Linked DNA regions of Lepisosteus oculatus. The protein of the gene in region 1 purifies or fractionates together with the protein of each later gene. This does not show direct contact. Links are inferred from orthologs where the notes say so. Each region holds a gene or a part of one and is shown in the gene's direction. Other genes may lie near its edges.

The links.
Region 2: the proteins of mtx2 (region 1) and chchd6a purify together in Homo sapiens (co-immunoprecipitation; 3 studies listed by BioGRID and IntAct, counting the BioPlex papers as one, with this or other methods). This does not show direct contact. The link is inferred for Lepisosteus oculatus from reciprocal best matches to the Homo sapiens genes MTX2 and CHCHD6.

The regions. Positions count from the first base shown.
Region 1 is NC_090707.1:17,460,517-17,471,548, forward strand, and holds the start of mtx2 (metaxin-2), read left to right. Parts: upstream 1-6,213; 5' UTR 6,214-6,368; coding exon 6,369-6,408; intron 6,409-11,032. UniProt on the Homo sapiens protein: Involved in transport of proteins into the mitochondrion.
Region 2 is NC_090699.1:61,087,219-61,097,887, reverse strand, and holds the start of chchd6a (MICOS complex subunit mic25a), read left to right. Parts: upstream 1-6,303; 5' UTR 6,304-6,447; coding exon 6,448-6,531; intron 6,532-7,894; coding exon 7,895-8,003; intron 8,004-8,417; coding exon 8,418-8,475; intron 8,476-10,011; coding exon 10,012-10,156; intron 10,157-10,669. Other genes in the region: tpra1 (transmembrane protein adipocyte-associated 1 homolog), read left to right, coding at 1,145-1,382. UniProt on the Homo sapiens protein: Component of the MICOS complex, a large protein complex of the mitochondrial inner membrane that plays crucial roles in the maintenance of crista junctions, inner membrane architecture, and formation of contact sites to the outer membrane.

The DNA.
Region 1 (11,032 bases):
TCCATTTTCACGGTGAGAAGTGTTTAACACTCTATAACGAACCAAAGATTTAAGAATTCTGTTTTAAAAACGATTACATTTGTTGGACCAAATCAGGTTATCCTCAGGAACACCTTCATATGATATGAAGTTTGCACTATAGAAGCCTCAGGTTCAAAGGTTAACTTGCTGCTACAAGTGGTCTATTGTTGTAGGTTCAATGTCGATTCTTTTTTTAATACTTGGGACACTGACTTAAAAAACAAACAAAAATGTGTATTCCGTTGTGATACACGACTAGTTCAAAGAGTTTAACATCAGCTTTAAAACCATAAGTTTTATTTAATAGGTAATTACATGTAATTTTACTTGAATATGTAAACCACGCTTTTTAAAATAAACGGGTGTTTATTTTAACAACTTTGTTGTTGTTGTTTTAATCAGTGGTGATAAGTAGCTTGCGTGAATCCTGATGGAAAAGGAAGAAAAAAAATGTTTTAATGCAGGTTGTACTAAAAGTGTTGAACATATGATGAAAATTCTGTTTAAATTTCTGTTCTATTTTAAAGAGATACGGGAATAATATGAGAATAACGACACCACATATCCACAGTTGTTGCTTTGCAAACTGGTATTTAAATACTAGCACAAAAAATGTTGATTGTAATTTGATTCTTCTGTCGCAAATTACAGAGCTGGATTTCGGCAGAGGTCACGCTACCTTTATTTATCTAGAAATGTAGTGCTAGACTCGCATATTTCGAGCTCCTTTGGCCATGAGCTAATAAAATATGTTATTTGTTGTCTTGGACCTTTCAAGTCATTTTGTACAGGTCGTATAAAAGTATGTTAGCTGGTCTGTGTTTACAGTCGGTTCTCAACGATTATGTCGTAGTGACTCGATTAAAAATTATTCAACATAGTTTGGGATTTTTCTCTTACTGAAGCTAATTGATCTTTATTATTGCTAAATATGTAGTTGTTATGAATGAGACATTTAAATTTAGGGAGTGTGTTACTTTTGTATGATAAAGTGTGGAGACCGGCTCCTATGGCATTGTGTCAAACAGGACATTTCACTGCGTCCCTCTGAAAAGCTCACTGGTCAGCATTCTTCGGCACTTTTTGTGTTAATGAATTGTACTAAAACAAAACAGAAACTCCATGCTGAGGGCGGTATTTCAAAGGCCCAGTGGTCTCAAAGGCTCTCTTCGGGATTCTCCCCATGGTTCTCTGATACCAGAATTATTAGCAAACATTATTACAAGGGTGTAACGTTTAATATGTATTACGTATGGGTTTCTATCTGCAGATAATGGATCTTAGTTCGTGCTGAAATATTATATATGGCGCGCATTCACCTACACAGCCTAATCCATATGCTTGTAAAGGTAAAGGTATTTCTCCTTAGAAAAGCCTATTGTGTGGGCCCTTGATATCACCCCCACTGTTTTCCTCCTTTTACATTGTCAGTCTCTGATCCTTGTCTGTAGTACGTCTTTAAGCCTTTGATGATCAGAGATATGTTTAAGATTACCATACAAACAATAGGTAAAACTGTTCGGAGATCTGAAGGCATTGTGAAACCCACAGTTGCGTTGTTGCACTTGTTTGATATCCAGGTTTTACTTCAGAGGAGCGGAAGAACCACGGGCATCTTGTAAATGTTTGAGATACAGTGCCCTTCTTTTCTCCGGGGGGTACCGGGTCATCAAAAGTTCACAGCCTAACTAACCAAAAGGTTAGTAGACGTGCAAGTTTACACACCGATTACTAATTAAGGCAGGCAGTTTGAAGATCTTTACTTATGAATCAAATTTTATTTCCTAAAAGTGAAAAACAGAATACTAATTTAATTGATCCGAAAAGATATAGTGTGCTCATCTATCGACTTTCTTTTTCTGTTCTAGAACGACGTGAAGTTCTTTTCAAAGATTTACGTCTTCTAGGAGTATAGCGATCCTTTGAATGCTTTGTGAAAGAAATAAGACTTGCAAATCTTGGGACGGATCAGATATATGAATGAAGAGAAAAAAAATATAATTACCAGATTTTTGTTTATTATTATTGTAATATATACAAACTATAAAATTAAGTAGGCTTAAGTACAAGGTAAAGGTATATGTACGACAGAAGCAAAATGTTGTTCCTAGGCAAACTGGTAGAAAAGTAGGCTAGACCTACATGTACAGCCTTTTAAAAGTACTAAAATTCTTTTCTTCAGGTAGGCTATATCATTTCCCCTGCCGCAGAAGCGATTTTTATTTTTACAGGTTATACATTTTAAGTGAGAAATGGAAATATATAGCTAATTTAATTTTTGTAATCTAATTTAATTCTCGAAAAAGAAAAGACAAATAGGTATAAGGATTTTAAAATGTAATGTTAATTATTATTGCAAAACGCTTCCATACGCTATTCTTTTTGATGAATTGGGACTTAGGTAAAACGATTTAAAGAGATAAATCTTTTTGCTTTTTTAAGTCAGGTTAAAGCGAGTTTGATTTCCTTAATTAGTTCTTTTACTATAAAATATCTATGTGCCGGAGAAGCATTTCTACATTATTTTATTAAAGAACACTCGACAAATTTAGTTTTTTTTTGTAAAATCATTTTTAAAGAAATTATACAAATATACAAAAAAAGAGGAAAACAAAGAACACGTCAATCAAAAATTAAGAGTGTAATAGCACTTCAATATGACAATTATCTTAATTATAATTACTGATTACACAATTGAAAGAACGAAAGGTCGTAATAGAAAACTTTAAGCATGTAGTAACAATTTCATGTGCTATACAGCAGAGACTATATACGCTTTTTAATCATTGAAAATGCCATTGAATTTAGGTAGGGCGTCCAGACTTACAAGAGTGCAAACCTCCTTTTCCAAAATGTCCTTTCAAGCTTAAATACACTTACATTACTATTATACTTAAAATGTAATGTATAATTGGTCTTCAGTTCTTAATGTCACTATAGTGGGTTAGAATCATTCTCACAATTTTTTAAAGGAATTCTATTGTTTGAACAGAAGAAGCATTATATAATTCTTAAAATATTATATAATATATTAGCAGAATTGTAACGTATTTCCACCAAAAAGTTACATCAGTTTTTAACCTTATATCAGGTTCATTGTCTGCTTGGTTACAGTTAAAAGGCTTGCCTAAATATGATTCTTCATAACAATACATCCGTAATTAAAAAGTTTACATTCGGGTGCTGTGCCTTTAAACACAGCTTCATGCAGAAAACGTCTTCACAAGCCTACTACTGTGTTTTTCCTTCTGTGTTCATAGTGGATATAGCCTCAGAAAAGTCAGGTAACCTGCTGTAGCCCGACCATTTTAAGTAAATGAGCACAATCGTCCACAGAGTAAGGTAGACCAAAAGAATACATTGACCTACAAGTTTCAGTTGTTCTTATTGATTGCCTCATATTAAAAATAAAGGAAACATGTACACATGGAGGAAAAAGAACGAAGCTGGATGAGTAAAGGGGGTCAGGGAATGAAGGCTATGGAGAACCTGCTTACATTCCTGAAAATCTCACAGATGAGGGAATTATTTCTCCCAGAGCATACCGATATTTTCATGAGGACCAAGTCATGAGGATCTACCTGGTGTTAGCAGTTACACAATGTAAATGATTAAAAATGATTAAAAAGGGATTTGTAATATAATAACATATAGCACTGAGACGAGTCATTTGGCCCACGAAGTCTGTTTAGTTTTCATTAGCTGATTAATTCATGGATCTCAACCATTTCTTGAAAGAAGCCAGACCTTCAACAACATGGCTGAATAGCTTGTTCCATTTCCCTACGACTCTTGAAGCAAAGCACAACTTCAAAGTTACCAATCGTTTTTCATTAAATCACTTTAAAATACAAATTTCTGTAGCAACCACACCTCTCTTTAAGCACCCATAACAATAAAATTCTGGCTTAAAATCTAATACATTAAGGCTATGAAGACCACAAAACACACTCTACCACAACAGTTTTATTGCTATTCCAATGTAAGGATGACATCAAATCCAAGCTGAAATGCTTTAACTGTTTAAAGTAATCAAATTGACTATAAAAGCAGTAATAGTGTATTCAATACTGAAGAAAACTCTGGATTGCTAACATTTTAAATGTTACACTGAAGTATTCTTGTATTAGTATCGTAACCACCAGTAGAGAACCTCCTTAGTGAACTTGCATTCATCACTGTTGCTAACGTTTACTAGAACTCATTGAAACCATAAATTGGTATGGGAACCAACTTCACTTGTTTCATTTTAATGCCTGTCAGTATATAAATGGTCTGAATCACCACTGAATGTCACATACTTTGAGACTGTCAAGTTTAAATGGAATCAGTGTCTTGTCAGATATATGTACCCTTCAGATCCTCTGCTCCTGAAAATGATATTGAAGATTATTGTAGGTCTGTTTTAGAATTAGAGAAATATTTTAATGGAAGGAAAACACATTTTAAAATAAATCCCAGTACTGGGGACAGCACATTTGTGCATCGAAGTGTAGTATTTTCTAACTATATATTTTAATGACATACATTATTACTCATATTGCTTTAAATGTGCTCTTGAACATAGTGAAATAAAGATAAACAAAACAAGTAAAATAAATAAAGTGCAGTATAATATGCAATGTTAAATATATGTCTCATAAAGTGTACACATTTATTCACATGCAATAAATCTTTACAAAATTGCCAACATGAATTATTGTTGTAACTACACACAATTCCTTTTTAGAATTTGGCTCAGATTGATATATTTCTTTGTTGAGGTGGCAAAAAATTGATGCTGCACCAAACTTCAGCTGAGCACTAGCCTTATAGAAAGTGGTCAAAATTGGATACCTTGCAGAAACAGCAGGTGATAAAGACTGTGATCCAAAATCAAGAGCTATTTAACTGGATACATAATACGCAGTTTTCCATGCTTACAGAAAATTGACTATTTACTATCAACAATGGTAAGAAGCAATATCAAGAGCAGTCCTGTTACACACAGGGAAGCAAATGATTCCTTTGCATATTATTTTGGTCCACTACAGATTATACCAGTTACTGGTCCTTCAACAGGCCAAGAACAAGTAGATACAGCATCAAACTGTAAAGTATGCACAGACTGCTAAATTCAATTAAAATTACACAGAAGGCTAAACATTTTCTGTTTCATCAGTAAATATCTGCAAAAAGGACATCTGAAATGAAAAAGATTGCTATACAATATGAATCTCATTATAAAATACAGATTCACAAACTGTGTAAGAGAATGTGTTCCGGGTCAGGCTTTGTTTGTGCTCACCAAATGAAGGCTTTATGCTCAAAACATGGAAACATTACTGAAAATGGGATTTCCTTAAACGGTGTTGACAATAAAAGTTTGCATTCAACCACCCAATCTCAGTTTTAGGTATATTAAATGTTATTTGTTCAAGGAAACAAATCTAATCTGGAAGTAGGGTAGCTGAAGAAATAAATCAGATGAGAGACAAATATGCATGCTTTCAAGTCAGAGCTATCCTTGAAAAATTTAAAGGGGTTGGGTTAACTATCGTCATCGTAAGGTTAAATCTTTATCCACACATTTACAAATAATCTAATTTAAATACAGCAATACTGGATTATACATTCAGGGACGCCAGGAAACTGACTGAAGAATGAGAAATATCTTCCTGGACCTCTCTCCGTGATACAGTCACCCAGATAATTTATGCTGAGGGAAAAATACTTGCAGTTAAAATTAATTTCAGAAAAGAAAACTAGATATCAGTCGTGTTTATTGTGTTGATTAATGCGTTACTGGTATTGAAAAAATGCTAATATTACATAAAACAATCAATAAACCCACGAATATATAATGAGACAAGCACAAAACATTTGTTATAAGTGGACAATCAAAAACACCTAAAGAAAATAGTTTATCAATCTCCCTAATGCGCCGTACGTCTTTTCATCTGCTTTTGCAACTCAATAGACAGTATCAGCCGCTACTCGCGGATTCGAGTTTTCGTGTTTTTACATTTGAAAAGACAGTCAAGATATACAGTCTCGGAACTGTATTTCCAAGGATTGATAAAAACAAGTATTAACGCTGTCGAGGATAATAAAGAAAGCTCCTCAAGAACAAATATCCAGTAATCTCTGTACACAATAATCCGGAAGAAGAATGATTGCAGTGCACCAGGAAGCAGTTGATCGAATGCGTGTTTATGCTCGTCTTTCACAGGGTTCACATCCTGAAGGCTGCTGTGCCCTTATCGTTGTCCGCTGCGGTGAATAGTGCAGTACAGTTTTTCCTTGTCTGAGACATTGTATTTTTAATCAAAAAGTGTAAATTAAAATTTTCGAGTTCATCTGTCATCATGTCTCTTGCTGCAGAGGCGTTTGTATCCCAAATAGCAGGTAATAACGCTTATATTACCGTAAGTGATAACTATGTGTTGCTCATATACTTTTACGTACCAATTACATATGTTTTAAATATGAGAACGATTTTCCCACAAAATAAATTCCTGCTCATGTATGACCTAAGAATGTAGTATCTCAACGATTTAATTGTTGCCTGACTGTCGAGCAATCCCATTGAGTATATAGAACTTGATTATCTTTTAGTATAGTCTATATTAAACAAAATGCAATTATCATGATATATCATTATAAAATGTGCAATAACATTCACGTCGAAAGGTTATAGAGTAGTTTAATATCGTATTTCAGCGTCAAACACCTAGCCCTCATATATAAGGTCGCAGAACAAAATAGTTTGTTCCTAACAATAAGGGGGTGATTTTTTATTACTTTGGCTTAGAATTAAGTTAACTGGGGTGTGATGAACATGTGTCATGTTTAAAAGTATAACAGGATGGTTGTTATTGTTTAAAACAAATGTTAAATTTAATGGAGACTGAGGTATTATCAATTAGTGTGTCATTCATATTACATAGTATCACTAGGTGTGTAACACTAAACAGTAGGAATTCTACAAAAGAGATGGGGAATAGAGTTTAATACGGTTTGTTTTTGGTGTAGCCGCATACAAAAAGTGACTTGAAGGTTATAACACTATTGGATTAAATCTTTGGTTAATTATGGAAGAGAGGATGTTTGTGGGAAAAAAAGTGTCCTTTAAACTTGAGTATAAAAACTCTTGTCTTTAAAATACCCATTTACTGTCTCTATTTTGTATGCGCTCAGAGATTTAATTATCAAGGCTGTTCCAAAGATGATGAAATCAGTAGCATGTTGACATATTATAATGTATTTAATGGTTTAGGAAATTATTTTATAGTTTCTGCTTTCTGTTTTAGCAGATACATTCATAGACTGTGAAATATTGTCAGGCATTTCTTTAAAAAAAACAAATTTCAGACATATAGGAATGGTGTGCAAGTGTGATGTAACGTTCTGTGTAGTACCCATACCCCCACCACCATTTTACCATACATTTTTAAACAGAAAAATCCTACAAAATATCCACCTTCGAATGGTGCTTAAACCTTTGAGTTGTATCCTGGAAGCCAGACTACAGTACCTCTGTGAAAACTGCCACAAAAGCCAGTTCCTTTTTGTAAAAATAAAAAGAAACTGAAACTCTACTGCAATTAAAGCGTACCATGAGATCAAGGAACTCTCGAAAGTCACATTTATGAAGGAATAAAGTTAAAAAAAAAAACATTGCAGGGAAGCTGGCAGAGAAGAGCTGTTCCCAGGATGTAAAAAAAAAAAATCAGCAGCCTATCATGACATCCCGCGTGACATATCTCCAAATATGTTTGCTTTATTCCATGACCTGGAAGCAGACAGTCCAGACTTGGAATTTCAAGTCAACAGCATCCAGAATACCACCGTTACAGGCACTGAAGTCCAAACTCCAGCCATATCAACTTTAAAGCAGAACTGCAATGCTAGTTTTCTGTTTCAGGGTTAGAAGGAATCAGCATTGATGCGTGCATTTCAAAGCACAAAAAAAGTAAGATGTACACAGTAGCTCTAATTTACATCACAAAACAGATGAAGGTTCCAGGTATGCACAGCACCATAGTCTGCGATTCAGAGTGAGGCAACTGGTAATGTGAAGTGGCCCTATGACATTGTAAAGAAGCAGGTTTGTGAATCCAACTCTTTTAACCTAATAGAAATATTGCTCTTGACTTCTGCCGACAAATACTACTTACTTGTTAACTCTGCATGCAGATCACATTGGAGCATTTCTGTGGTGAAATGTCTGTTGCACAACCTTTACTTATTTGCACCCACATCACATTCCAGTAGTCTTGGCAGTGACTAGTGAGCAGGAAGGGCTGTTTCACATCACAGCACGCACAAACCCGTGCTCTTGCCCAAGGCGGGACCAGGAATTGCGACAACATGGTGAGCTACGGTACTTTCACCACAAAGGTCCCCGTTTTGTGCTTAGTTCGAAATTCGTCAATTTCTTCTATACCGTTGGTGAATTTATTTTGTTACTGAGATTTAATGACCGGTCTGAAAAAATTGGGACTGCAGTTCCCCTTTAATTACTGCCAGGACTAAACAGAAAAAGACTTTACTTTCCCAAATGCAGATAGTGAGGTATGCATCAAGGATACCAAGTCAACAACAGTGTTGTCTGCATGTACTGTGGCCGTGGTGGCTGACATCATCCAAGGTGTTCAGGCTCCCAGGAATAAACCCAGTTAATGTTGATGTAATAAAAAGCGACATAAGCAGCCCTCTTTCCTTAAGAAAGAAATTCTTGGGAGACTTGGGAAACAAACTGAAGGCTAGGACTAAATTAGTGCTTTTCTCAAAGACACTGCCTGACCGTATGAAAGTGAACAAAAAGAAACGCTAGAGGACATGGTGTGTTGAAGAAGACTTCAGCATTTTCAGCTATCAGAATCCTTGATGTAGCACAGCCCATCTGTGCAGACAATGTGGATTCCATCTGAATGAGATGGGGCCATGAGGGCCTGGGGCAAGACTCTATAGAGGGATTCGACGAACGTTTTTACTAGAATAGAAGGTGAGAGGAACCATAGGAACTCTGCAAAGGAGATACACAGTGAGTAGAGTGAGAAGGAGAACCCAAGAGACAAATTTGAAAAGCACTTGCCTGTCTGTTGAGAAGATGGTGAAGGTGGATTCATCTGCCTTTGCTCTCTGCACCACTGGACTCGCAAATGTGCATTGTCAGCTGTGATAAGCGTTTTCTTTGTGCTGCAACCTGACTATGGTATCCTGCTCCTTGGAGTTCTCAATGGACAGTTTTTGGTGAAACCGGCTCCTCGTGCACCAGGTTGTAATTTGCAGTCAGTTGCTGGCCTGATTTGCATTGCATTTGTGATAACGCGCAGATATCACAATCCTGCCACACTGTTGGTCTTGAAACATCAGCAAACTGAGCTATCTTGGTCACTAAAGCTAAACCCACTCCAAAAGTCACCTCTCTTTTAAAGTCACCAGTGTCTCCTCTTTCAACGATGACAGCCGTAAATATAGCCAACCAGGCCTGTCCAGCATTTTTATACATGACCCTCAGTGTACTAGGATGTTGCTGAATTAACACATAAGCCACACCTGTGTGGAAGCCCTTGTTTTCAGCACACCTGGTGTCCCTCGTTTAACCATGTGTTTTCATTTTTTTGTCCACTACTTGAACATATAGGATTCAGACACATACAGCTAATCCAATTTAATCAAAGTTCTCAAAATCTATATGAATTGGACTTATAAAATATTCAAAGGGCATAGTGTAAGGTGTATTTCATATTTGTATATAATAAAATGTTGGATGTACTGTACGCAGGAAGAGGGGGTTATTGTGGGTTGATTTTCATTTTTCTCTCATACTTTGGGATGTCAGTAGCAGAAAACTAGAGTAAGGAAATTTGGATTGAGAACCGGATAATGGATGAAAAACAAACTACATATTAGAAATAAATGCTTAAACTAAGTGTAAGTAATTGTGTGTTTGGGCCACTCCTCTTCCTAATTTATATTAGTAATCTAGGTTACGGTTCAGTTAATAAAATACTCAAATTCACAATTGACACAACAATAAGTGTCACGGACGTCCAAAGGGACTAACCGTGGGGAGCAGGAGAGCAGAAAAAGACCCATATGCGTAGCGGCGAGACGGGAAAAAGGCCCGGGCTCATTAGTGCAAAGAGTTCAGGAATGCCGTATAGAAACCTATACCCTCAGGGAGCGGACGTGGGGCGCCCTGGTGCTAGGCGGGTCTCAGGACATCCGAACGTCAATGCTGAGCCCGGACAGAGTGCAAGACCCGGAAATATATAGCCCAAGGGAAAGAGAGGGACAGGAAGGACAGCAGACCGGAAATAGGGACATGACAGAGAAGGAGCGCCCTCTGGCTGCAGAGGGCATGACAATAAGAAGATTAGCAAACTCTGTAGAAGCTGAAGAAAAGAGAACTTTCTAAGGTGGGCAAACACCCAGCACATGACATTTAATGTAGGCAAGTGCAGAGAGTTGCATGAAGATAGCAGAAACATAAGATATAAACATCAGATGGAAAATGCAGAAATTAAAGAAGCTTCTTATGAAAAAGCATTATGTACCCGAGTCCTGAAGTAGAAGAAAACCCAGCTGGTATGTGGATCTGCAGGACCAGGCCTTACAGAGACCACAGCAGACTGCCGTCTCCTGTCAACTCGTGCTGTCTCCACAACAGCCAGACTCTGTCCTATCCAGTAAAGTGTCATCCATGTTGATGCAGAAATTGCAGTAGTGCAGTCTAATGATGTGTTGTGATGTTACCATTACTGGGGCACCTGGTGACTGTAACTGTAGTTGTTGATTTGTATAAGCAATCCATCTAGTGCTCTGTCTGGGTATTATGATCCTGGCTTTGATGTATTACAGTGGTTGACAGGGAGCAGTCTGATAATGCATGTTTCCCATCAGTTTATTGAACTGTTTTATGTTTTGCGTATCACGTTTTATTCTGAAATTCTAAAGAAGTCCACTGGGTTGACTTTGTCAAGGGCCTTTGAGGATTTTGCTGGATAGATAGACCATGAAT
Region 2 (10,669 bases), on another chromosome or scaffold:
TGAACCCACAATCGCCTATTGAACTCATTATTTACTTGGTTGTTTGCTAATAGCCTTTCCTTGTTCTTAGGAATCTGGATATTTACAGAGACCTATAAGACATCCTGGGCAGTGGTCCTTAAAGGGAAACTGCAGTTCCAATTTCTTAGACCGGTTATTAAATCTTGGTTACAGAATAAATTAATCGACATTGTAGAAAATTTTACAAATTTTGAATTACACACGAAATCTGGAACTTTGTAAAAGTACTTTAAGCTGACGTTTTGTCGCAAACTTTGAGTTCTGAATTGCAATGTGATGCGGCCCTTCCTGCTCGCCTGTCAACATAATAACTAATGTAATGTGATGTACAAATAAGTACAGGGTGCACAGCAGGCATTTCACCACAGAAATGTTCCAGTGTGATCTGCATGCAGATATGCAATATTTTTATTGAATTAAAAGACATGTATTCACAATGAAGTAAAGCTGCAACATGTCCGTTTTGTTGCCTTGTTCTGAGTCACAGAACATGGTGTTGCACATACATTACCTGGAAATTTAGTGTATTTTGTGATGTCAATTGGAGGTTTTACAAGTTGCTGTGTACAGTTTATTTTTAATGTGGTTTGAAATGCACTCATCATTGGTGATTCTTTCTAATCCCGAAATATAAAAATGTCATCGTGGTGCTTTTCAAGGCCAGAATGGAGCTTCTCATGCTTATATAGATGTGGATTCTTGGAGACATGCATTACTAAGCTATTGCTCATCTAACAGTACAAAAACTCATACTTGAAGTCTGAATCCCCCAAATTCTTTAAATCATTTCTTAATGTGAAATGGGTTTACAAAAACTCATTGAAGCTATGTAACAGTTGACATCAAAAACTTGTAAAATTAGTCATGTTGAATGAAAGGTGTAGCATAAAGATGTCCAATTTTATGTGTTCTCCCTTTATATGAAAATGTAGGGTCGAACAGTAGATTCGTTCCCTACCTACAGTAAAAGTGTATTTGTTTTAATGTTCATAATCATTATCTGTTCTATTGCATAGAATAGACATCATTAAAACCTATTGCACAAGCAAAACATTTGATAAAGTCACAGCTTTGAATCTTACTCTGGCAAGAATAAGTATTTATCTCTCATTTCCTTCTCCAGATCAGAGCCAAAGATCCTGTTTTCCTACAAATCCCAGATCGATGAGCCTGATGACACAGATGTTCACCTTCCCCCGACCTATGGTGTGGGCAAGAAAGATGGTCATGAACCTGGATTCTACTCCAGCACACAGATAGATACCTCGGGGTCCTACTTGGATGATGTCGCCTCAGGCCCTTATCCTGTGGGTAGCATTAACAGTATTGATAGTGACCGCTGGAGGGCCATCAATGCCTAGAATCCAATCCAGAGGAGGGGTAGGATTCTGCACCTCTCCAGGAACAGTTCTGATCATGAAATGTAAAAGACCATGTGCAGGATTTTATAAATCCATTCATGGGGATACTTAGCAACATGGATGTTGCTTTTGAGCAAAGCAGTAAATGTACAGTATATACATTCCAATCTGAAATTTGCAACAGGTAATCTCGGCTCCCTGCTGTCCCACATGAGAAAGGGAAATGAGCTGGCAGACATAATTCTCAAATCATTTTGCCTCACGGTTTTTGCCAAGTCATCCTCATTTTCTCTCAGACTCAGCATTTACATTGTATTACAAGTGATTCTTTTATTTTTTTTAAAAAAAGCTTTTAACTAATGCTTTATTGATGGCGTGAAACACTGACATACATGCTGCTTTGATTATATGGGAAATAAGAGACTTTACTGGAGTTTCTTAGAGGGGTTAATTTAACTTAAATCGTCACTTAAGAGTTTTGTTTTTGGTGCTTCAATGTAATAACACTGCTATAGCTTTGGCTGTAGCAAATTCACCAGAGGGGTTCGGTTTGTAGAAATTCTAGTCAACATGATTTATGGAGCAGTTGCAAATGTTCAGCCAAAACAGTAATTTATCAGTTAAATGGATAAATACCAACCAGTGTCAACTAGCTTATTTCTGTCATAAATTATTTTTTCCCTTTTTATCCTGTAATCAACAGCTGCTTTGTTACTTTTTCCCTGATATTAAGGGAATTTAGAAAAGTTGTGTTTCCATGGTAGGACCAGTGTGCTGGAATTTAACCACTTTAGTGCACTAAAAGAAATTCTATAGAAGAGCATTAAAATATAAATAAGGTGTATGAGAAAGAGTCTTATTTATTCCTATGTGCGCATAGTTTGTAATTAATGTTTGATGGACCCGCCCAGTAAGACATTGTTTTAATGAGAACGTACTGAACATCTGATTAAAAAATACTTAAAATTTCCATAACTGTAATTGAGAACCAAGCAGATGTTAATTGCACTCTGAGAAGCAGGATGGAACTCATTGTTTCAGCTGTGAATCCTACCTCAGGAATGAGGAGGCTGAAGAAGGATCCATAGCTAAAATATGTGTTTAACTGTTTTTTTTCTAATATTCAGTGTGGAGCTGAAAAGTAGAAAGAAATCTTTACTGGTTCCTTTATTGATTGCATGGTGAATGCATGAATGCAGTCTCCTGCTTTACTTGTACAAACTTGGAACATTTTCCCCAATATCACTCTATGTAACCTCCTCTTTTGTTTAACAATTTTTATAAATCGGGATTGCATACAAGCTGTGATTTTTAACCGTGGTAGTTCCCTGTTTGTGTTTTGGCCTTTACAAAATCTGGAGCTGTAACCTTATCAGTAGCACTAGAAATGTGTTGCTGTACTAGTATTAGACAAATAAGTTCTCAGAAAACTATATGGAACACTCAGATCCAGTATATCAGAAATAGAAGGATACAGTGTCTTGATATTAAGTACTATTTCTCAGCACTGACACCTCTTGAATAAATATTTTTTGCTTTAATGATTCCCCTGAAATGGATTATATTGTTATCAAGACTTCTTCAGTAGTTAACTAGTTTCCTTAACTTGTAAGGCAATAATCTGGGCTGGATTTTGCATCTGGAAATGCTGGACTTTTGCGTTTCAGGGAATAGATAGGATGATGTGGATTGTTACATCTGCTTGTACAGTGAAGATGAACATTTTTTTTGTGAGCCGTGAATTGGAAACATTTGTAATTTTAATTATTTTTGAATACTGTATTGTGTAAATCTGAATTGCCAAATCAGAATATTTTTGTGCTTTCATAGGGTTTAACAGAGGTGCAGATGTCACAATTACAGCACAAGTATTATACAATGTTTCTTAGCAAGAATTAAATCCATGTTTGGCAGTGAAAAAGGTTTTTGACCTGTGTGAAATTTAACTGGAAAGAGTACTCTAACTTTTGCACTTTGGGCTAAGCTTCTTTGGACTGCGTATTTTATTAAAAAAAGAGTGATTGAAATATTTAAATATAGACCACAGAAACTTTCCCACTATGAGATTTTTCTGTTTCTTAAATGTTAAATGATACACTTTGTTTTGAATATTGTGACCAAATTTTGAACTGGCCCTTTAATATGGCAAATCTGTGTTGGGATTTTGATGCAGCATAATAAAAGTTGCACAGGGAAATGTTTTCAGAGGAAGTTGCCTCTAATTGAAAAATATTTTTCTCCCATGGAATTTGGTCTGGAGCTGAAGACTGGCATCAAGATAGATGAATTCAAGATGACCCTGGGTTCTGTTGGAGGTATTTGACTGGTGGAATTGTGGAGGCTTGGAATTTGTATTAGGGCAGGGATCAACACAACACTTGATTCATCATTGCAAGACCAACATGAAAGCATGTAAAAATTAAACATTTTTTATTAAGAAAATGGTTTTATTTAATTGTATGTATTTCTATAGAGTATTATTGTGGTATGTTAAACATTCCTAGAAAGTGATTATTAAAAACGCTTCCTGTCTGCCTGCTTTCTATTTCTTTTGTCAATGTTTAGTTAGATTTTGTTTTGCCAAAGTAGAAGTAGAAAACTCATGGTAAGAGGGAAAAACAAATCTTACATATGCCTTAAAAGCTGAAAGCTAACGTTTTGTATTTGTTTCAGCTGGTTAAGGAATAAACAGTGTAATGTGCTTACATGTATAAGCACTTTTATATCCATTTACAGTATAATATACAGTTACTTGAACAGTACTCTCAAGTGGGTTTGAAATCTATGATCCAAACTCCCAAGATTAAATAATTCTGTAGGCCTACTGGAATTTGGAAGAAAAATGCAGGTATATACTTTTTCTTAGATCCGCCTTAGTCTTTACTTATCGTTTCATCCAATTCCATGGAAGTTTGAGGTTGGAAGCTGTTCATGGTATGAATGTGACAAAGTAAATATAGGAGTAATAGCTTTATTTCATAAAAGAGGAAGGTATACATAAATTAAAACGGTAAATTAAACGAGAAAGTTGAAGTGCAAAAATGAGTTTTAAGTCCGGATTAAAAATGTTGAGGTACTTGGAAAATCCAATTTGGTTTAGATAATCATTGCAAATTCCCAGACAAATAGAATAGAAAGCAAGATTTTCCAGTGTTCAAAGTGTATTGGGAAATTAAAGAACTCCCTCACGTTCAAAGGAAGTGTAGGTGTATCTGGAGTTCAACAATGATATGATGTGATGTTCACTGATGATCTCAAATGCAGATAAATTATAGGTAATACAAAGGGGGCAGGACTGTTTTTTTATGGCATAGCATTTTAATGCCTCTGTAATTCTACAGTCTGTGTTTAAGCTTTACAAATGCTTTAGTTGAGGGGACACAAACAGTCAATAAATAGCTAACCCTTAAAAATTAGGACTGCTGTATGTGGAGGTAGCTGCCAATACACAATAAAGAGCTGGAAACATTGGTATTTAGGGAGTAATAAGGGTTTCTAGTTCCCAATTTTCAAATTCCCTCTCGGATTGGGACGCTCTGTAACCTAGACATACTAAAACGTTGAAATGGAGTGTAATTAAGGCTGTCAAAATCAAGTAAACATGAGATGTGAATTAATGTGCAGACAGATTATTAGTTTACTAGTTTTAAGTTTTGATGGTTCAATTAGTCAGACCAGCATAATTGTCAAAAACGATTTAGTGCCAACTCTGAAACTCTTTGTTTTTGTATATAATTATAATGGTACTATATAGTAGCCAGCAGCCATATCACCCTGCAACTCACAACTGGCAACCCACTGAAGCTAAGCAGGTGTGAGCCTGGTCAGTACCTGGATAGGAGACCTCCTGGGAAAAACTAAGGTTGCTGCTGGAGGAGGTGTTAGTGGGGCCAGCAGGGGGCGCTCACCCTGCAGCTCATGTGGGTCCTAATGCCCCAGTGTAGTGACTGGGACTTATATATATACTGTAAAACAGGCGCCGTCTTTCGGATGAGACGTAAAACCGTGGTCATTAAAAATCCCAGGGTGTTTCTCGAAAAGAGTAGGGGTGTAACCCCGGCGTCCTGGCAACATTTCCCATCAGCCTTTATCAATCATGGCCTCCTGACAATCCCCCTCTATAAATTGGCTTCATTACTCTGCTCTCCTCCCCACTGATTGCTGATGTGTGGTGAGTGTTCTGGCGCACTATGGCTGCCGTCGCATCATCCAGGTGGATGCTGCACATTGGTGGTGGTGGAGGGGAGTCCCCATTACCTGTAAAGCGCTTTGAGTGGAGTGTCCAGAAAAGCGCTATGTAAGTGTAAGCAATTATTATTCATTAATTATATGTAAAACAATTATGTCTATCCTTTATTAAATGTAATTAAAACCACCAGACTTCCAGTGTCATTTAATTCTTGCAATGACACCTTGTTAGTTTATTAAAATGTAGGCCTGTGATGTCCAACAATAATTACAAATGACAAATACTGTTTAGAAACCAGATTGGTTGCATCTCTAATAGCATAATCAGCTGTTGACGGGAGGAAGTATTTCTGAACAAAAACGGTGCATAACTTATCTCTATGTACATAATAATCACTATTAAATCATTTAGAAACGGTTCTAAATATCTCAAAGGCATTCCTTTTTCATTTTTTCCCGAGCCGATTTTGTGTATAGTTATTGTACTTGCTCCCGTTCCCGTTTAAAAGATAACGAATGGAAAGATGTATCCGTTTTTCAAGCCGACGCTACATAAAATGTTCACTGTATGGCTGAGATAATACAGGCTCACAGGGATAATGCACGTTAACAAGCCCCGCCTGAAAGTTGTTGCTTTTACTGAACTACAGTTCCCACTTGAATCCGGTTCCCTTCGGTAGCATTCTGCAATGTGATTGGGCTTCCCATGTACGTCTACCAATTGCATTTCACAATACTGGCATGTTAAAAAAATGACTTTTCATGTGGAGCGAAGGCTGAAAGGTCCATAGATTTTCAAGTGGTTGCAGAGGAATATCAGTGTTTTAATAATCCAAGCAAAATAACCGAAGGTCGTACTGAAGGACAGCATTTTACAATGGGAGGGAGTGAGAGTGTAACTAGAAAGGTGTCTTTTGGTTTGGACGAGGAAGACAGGGTGAGGGTTTTGCACGGAATCAAGGTAAGGAAGGAACAATTGCCAAAAAGCAAACTTATTGGAAAGGTCCTGCACGCTAAGGAGAACGTATTACGTTTATAGCAAATGCAAAAATGGAAACTGAGCTTTATCTGGTTTTTAGTCACCTCTTAAGTCTAGCTCGACAACCTTATACTGGGTACAAACGCCTGGAGATGCAATCCTGTCTTCTAACATCGGATGGAGCAATTTATGTGGGCTAGGGAAGCATCCCATAAGTCATGGCTTTATACAGTTCTCGGCACCAAACCAAAGTTGACCTCTGATAAATGCTTGCAGGTTTGCAAGCTGTCTTGCTTTGTAACAGGCAAATCGGATGCTGACTGCCTCAAATGCTGCCAAATTGCCGAAACTGACAATGCCAATGTTACTGTTAAAGCAAAAACAAACGGTCATCCTGTAGATCAACACGCCAAAACAAAAACAATAGCTGTTTTCTCATACAGGCCCAATTCATTTTTATTTGAAATATAACATTAACTTTCTAAATTACTCACCAAATAAACGTGGTAATTTGTGTTCCAGTTTTGGAGCATGTTTGCCTTTTAATCTCGTATTTCACTGTCTTGAAATGCCTGTAATGCTATGCTTTCATCAAGTGCTCTTCAACTTGTGTAAGCAGTGGTTACTATTCACAATACAGCGATTGCATCGTTTATGATTGCAGGGTGTTGAGGTCCTTGTTTTTTGTGTCATCGAAAAATATGTACCTCTTTAAGCTCAGTGTCTCGAATCTCCAGACGCAGGCATAGGTTTGGAATTAGTGGTGCAGAGTTGCGAATCTCACCTGCTGGTCCTTAAGCACCACTTCCAGCAGCGACCTGATCTGGTGTAGCTGCTTTCTGTTCAAGGAATGTCTGGGCCCAAAGTTGCTTCTCTTCAAAAACGTGTTGCAATAAGGTCCTGAGGTGGCATGATTTTTGAATGTTGTACATTTTTCTGACAGCAGTTAATTTACTTAACACAGCCTTGAGACTTGATTGTTTGTTCAGTTCAGTTTATTGTCATATGCACAAGTGCATGCATATTTGCATGTGTGCTCCATAAGAAAGACATTAAAAGAATCACCAAAAACATAAACACAGAACAGCAGCAACAACAACAAGTTAAATAACATACAAAGCCAGTGGTAGGGGTAGAGTTCTGACAGTTTGTGGGAAGAAACTGTGTGAAAACTGTGGGGGGTTATGTGGAACATTGTTATGTGGAACATTGTCCAGTTAGCCTTTAAAATCGTGAAGTCAGCACTGAAAAGAAGTGCATTACTGTCACTTACACGTGCTGTTTGTCTACATGTATGGGTTCGCTTCCTGGACAAAATGATAACACACTTGTTTTCTCTGGGCAGTTGTCGGAGGATGTCATCAGGAAAATGAAAGAAAAATCAGCCGAATCCAAACCCTCTGCTTCAGACGAGTGGTCGTCCTCTCAGACAGAAAGCAGTAAAGACTCCTCAGGTCTTGTCTTGTTTGTGTGAACTATATTTACAAGTTACTGTTTCATCAATAGGTGTAATAATAGAGATGGTACAAAAAGTTTGAAAAGAAGAATTTCAATAAAAAAAAATAAAATAGCTTTTCAACAATTTTGCTTATTTCTAATTCCATCATACTGATGAGAGTGATTCGGGTGAACTGATACTTTTGCTTAACTGAAGATTAGTGAATGAGGGGCAGATGCTTACCTGTTGATTGAGTTTTCTTTGGAGAAAGATGTTAAGATTACATTAAATGCGAATACATTTAATTAATGTGAAAGCACTTAACAAACAGTGAAACAAAATGTGTTGGTGGTCAAACATTTTAACAACATCACATTAATCTGAAAATGTGAAAGAAAATAATGAAGATGTTTTCTTTTGTTGTTTGTAGGTTCAAAGATGCATTCGGGACACACAGTCACAGTGAAAGAAGAGGAATTATACAGAAGGTGGGTGTTTTCATTGGTTTTAATTGGTTTTAAGCGCTTTGAGAAGCTACCTTTAAAGGTGCTATATAAAATAAAGTTTATTATCATTATTATTATTTTTATTATTAGGGCCGTGCGGGTTTTTTATAAGCTATTCCGATCTAACATTGACCGTACTGTATTTTAAAAAGGTGGAGTTCGTCTGACACCCCGTGGTGAAGTGAAGTATTACATCCTTAAACGTGGGTTGGAAGGAAAACAAAGTATCTTAGAAGAATTCTGGGACAATATTATTCTAATATGATAGAGAAACAAATCTGGAAACATTGTTATTCAGATCTGAGACTAAACCTTTATATTATTTTAGTCATATTAGTTTAGTTTATTTTAGTTTATATTAGTTTATCTGTCAGTTTTCTCTCTGTTCATACAGTTCTCTGTTTTTAAACTGTTTACTAAGTAGCTTCTTTTCTTCAGCTAGTAGGTATAATATTGTGGTTTTAAATGTTAAAAGTGAAAAATCTGTTTATTAATTTGGTTGCTGACACTGTAAAGGTACTCAACCATTTTTTTAAGAAGTTAAACCCCACAAATATGTCATTATCAGACATTGAACATTGTGGGCTGTCCTGATGGAAAAGGGACCATGCATAACAAGCCTTTGAAGCCCCTGTTTAATATAAGTCATCAAGAAATACTTGAAGAATACTGTAGTCAGCTTCAGTGGGCAGATACAGTCCAGTTAATATTACTACTGCCAAGTCCACAGTATTACTATTCCAAATATTTTCAAAGAGCATCATTTGGCTTTGAATCTTCACTGTCCTTTTCAAATGCGTAACGTGGAAAAATGTCTGAAGGTTCTTAGCTGCAGATTTAACTGCAGCAAAATCATTCTGTCAGAAAACTGCTGAAGAGAGAATCTTTGCAAGCTTAGTCTTTTATGAAGAAAGATAGGATCTTGGTCTGCAGAATGACCTCCTGTGGCTACAAAACAGTATAATGATTGCATCAGTACTTTTTAATCTAGCTGAAACATTGCTCTGCATTAGCCTTTAGTGTGGTGTGGTGTGGTGTTGTGTGTTAATTTTTTTGTGCTGCACAATGCTTTGAAGTACTTTAGGAAATATTACCATAAATAAGATCATACACTGTCCATTTTGTGAAAAAAAGTGGATCAATATAAAAAAAACTGCTGACTGTAAAGAAATACCTCTGCTTGGAATGATGATGATGATGATGGTATTGATTAAGTTATGTCTTAACTCTGTGTTGCGGGTTGTAATTTTTTTATTTTTTGAAAATGCTATTAGTTGTAATAGTAGTTTTACTATTTTACTTTAGTAATGATGAAAATGTACATTATTTAAAAAAAATATCTTGGTTAATGTTGTTAATGTTTTGGTCAATTTATGCCCTCATACTTTTTTTTATGCTTTGTGTGTCCAGAAAGTGCTTTGCATTTTTGCCCGGATTAGGGTGTTCGGTGTTCTTGTGGTGCTGGAGACTGTTCTGGTTACAGGTGTGATGCCATACCTGCTTGACGCTCTCTTGCAGGTACGAGAGGGAGAAGGCGATGGTCCAGGAGGAGCTAGCTCGGATTGCCCGGAAGGAGAGGGAGTCGGTGCGAGACGAGCTGAGTCTGGCTGTCCTTCGGGAACGAGCCCACACACGCCAGGAGGCAGAGAAGGCCAAGGTGCTGGTGAGTGTCCCTTCACTGTGCCCCCAAGAACACAGCAGTGTACCTAAATGCAGATCCCTGCACGAGCTGGCGCCTTTAAAATGAGTCCGATGGAGTTTAAACTTACACAATCAGAAGTGAAGGCAAATTTTTTGGTATTTTGTTGCCTTAAAGCTTGGAAATTAAGGGGGAACATTGTAAATGTTGTTAATGGAGTCAGTCACCTTAAATTTAATACTAAGGATTGCCTTAATACTAATTGCCTTAACTCAACTCAAATTCATTCTATTAATTTCCCAAAGTAAAAAAAAGTGGCAGTAAGACAAGAAAGCCCTTGACCTATTCACTTATATTTTATTTATGAATATTATTTAATATATTATAAAATTATTTTTTAAATTTTAAATTAACTGGTATTTAGGATAGTTGTTCCAAACCTTTTTTTGTACAATGTTTTGCACAATGCTTGTAGTGCCTTTAGGTCTGCAGATAAATATTTGAAAATGAATATGGATCAAAACTAGATGAAAACAG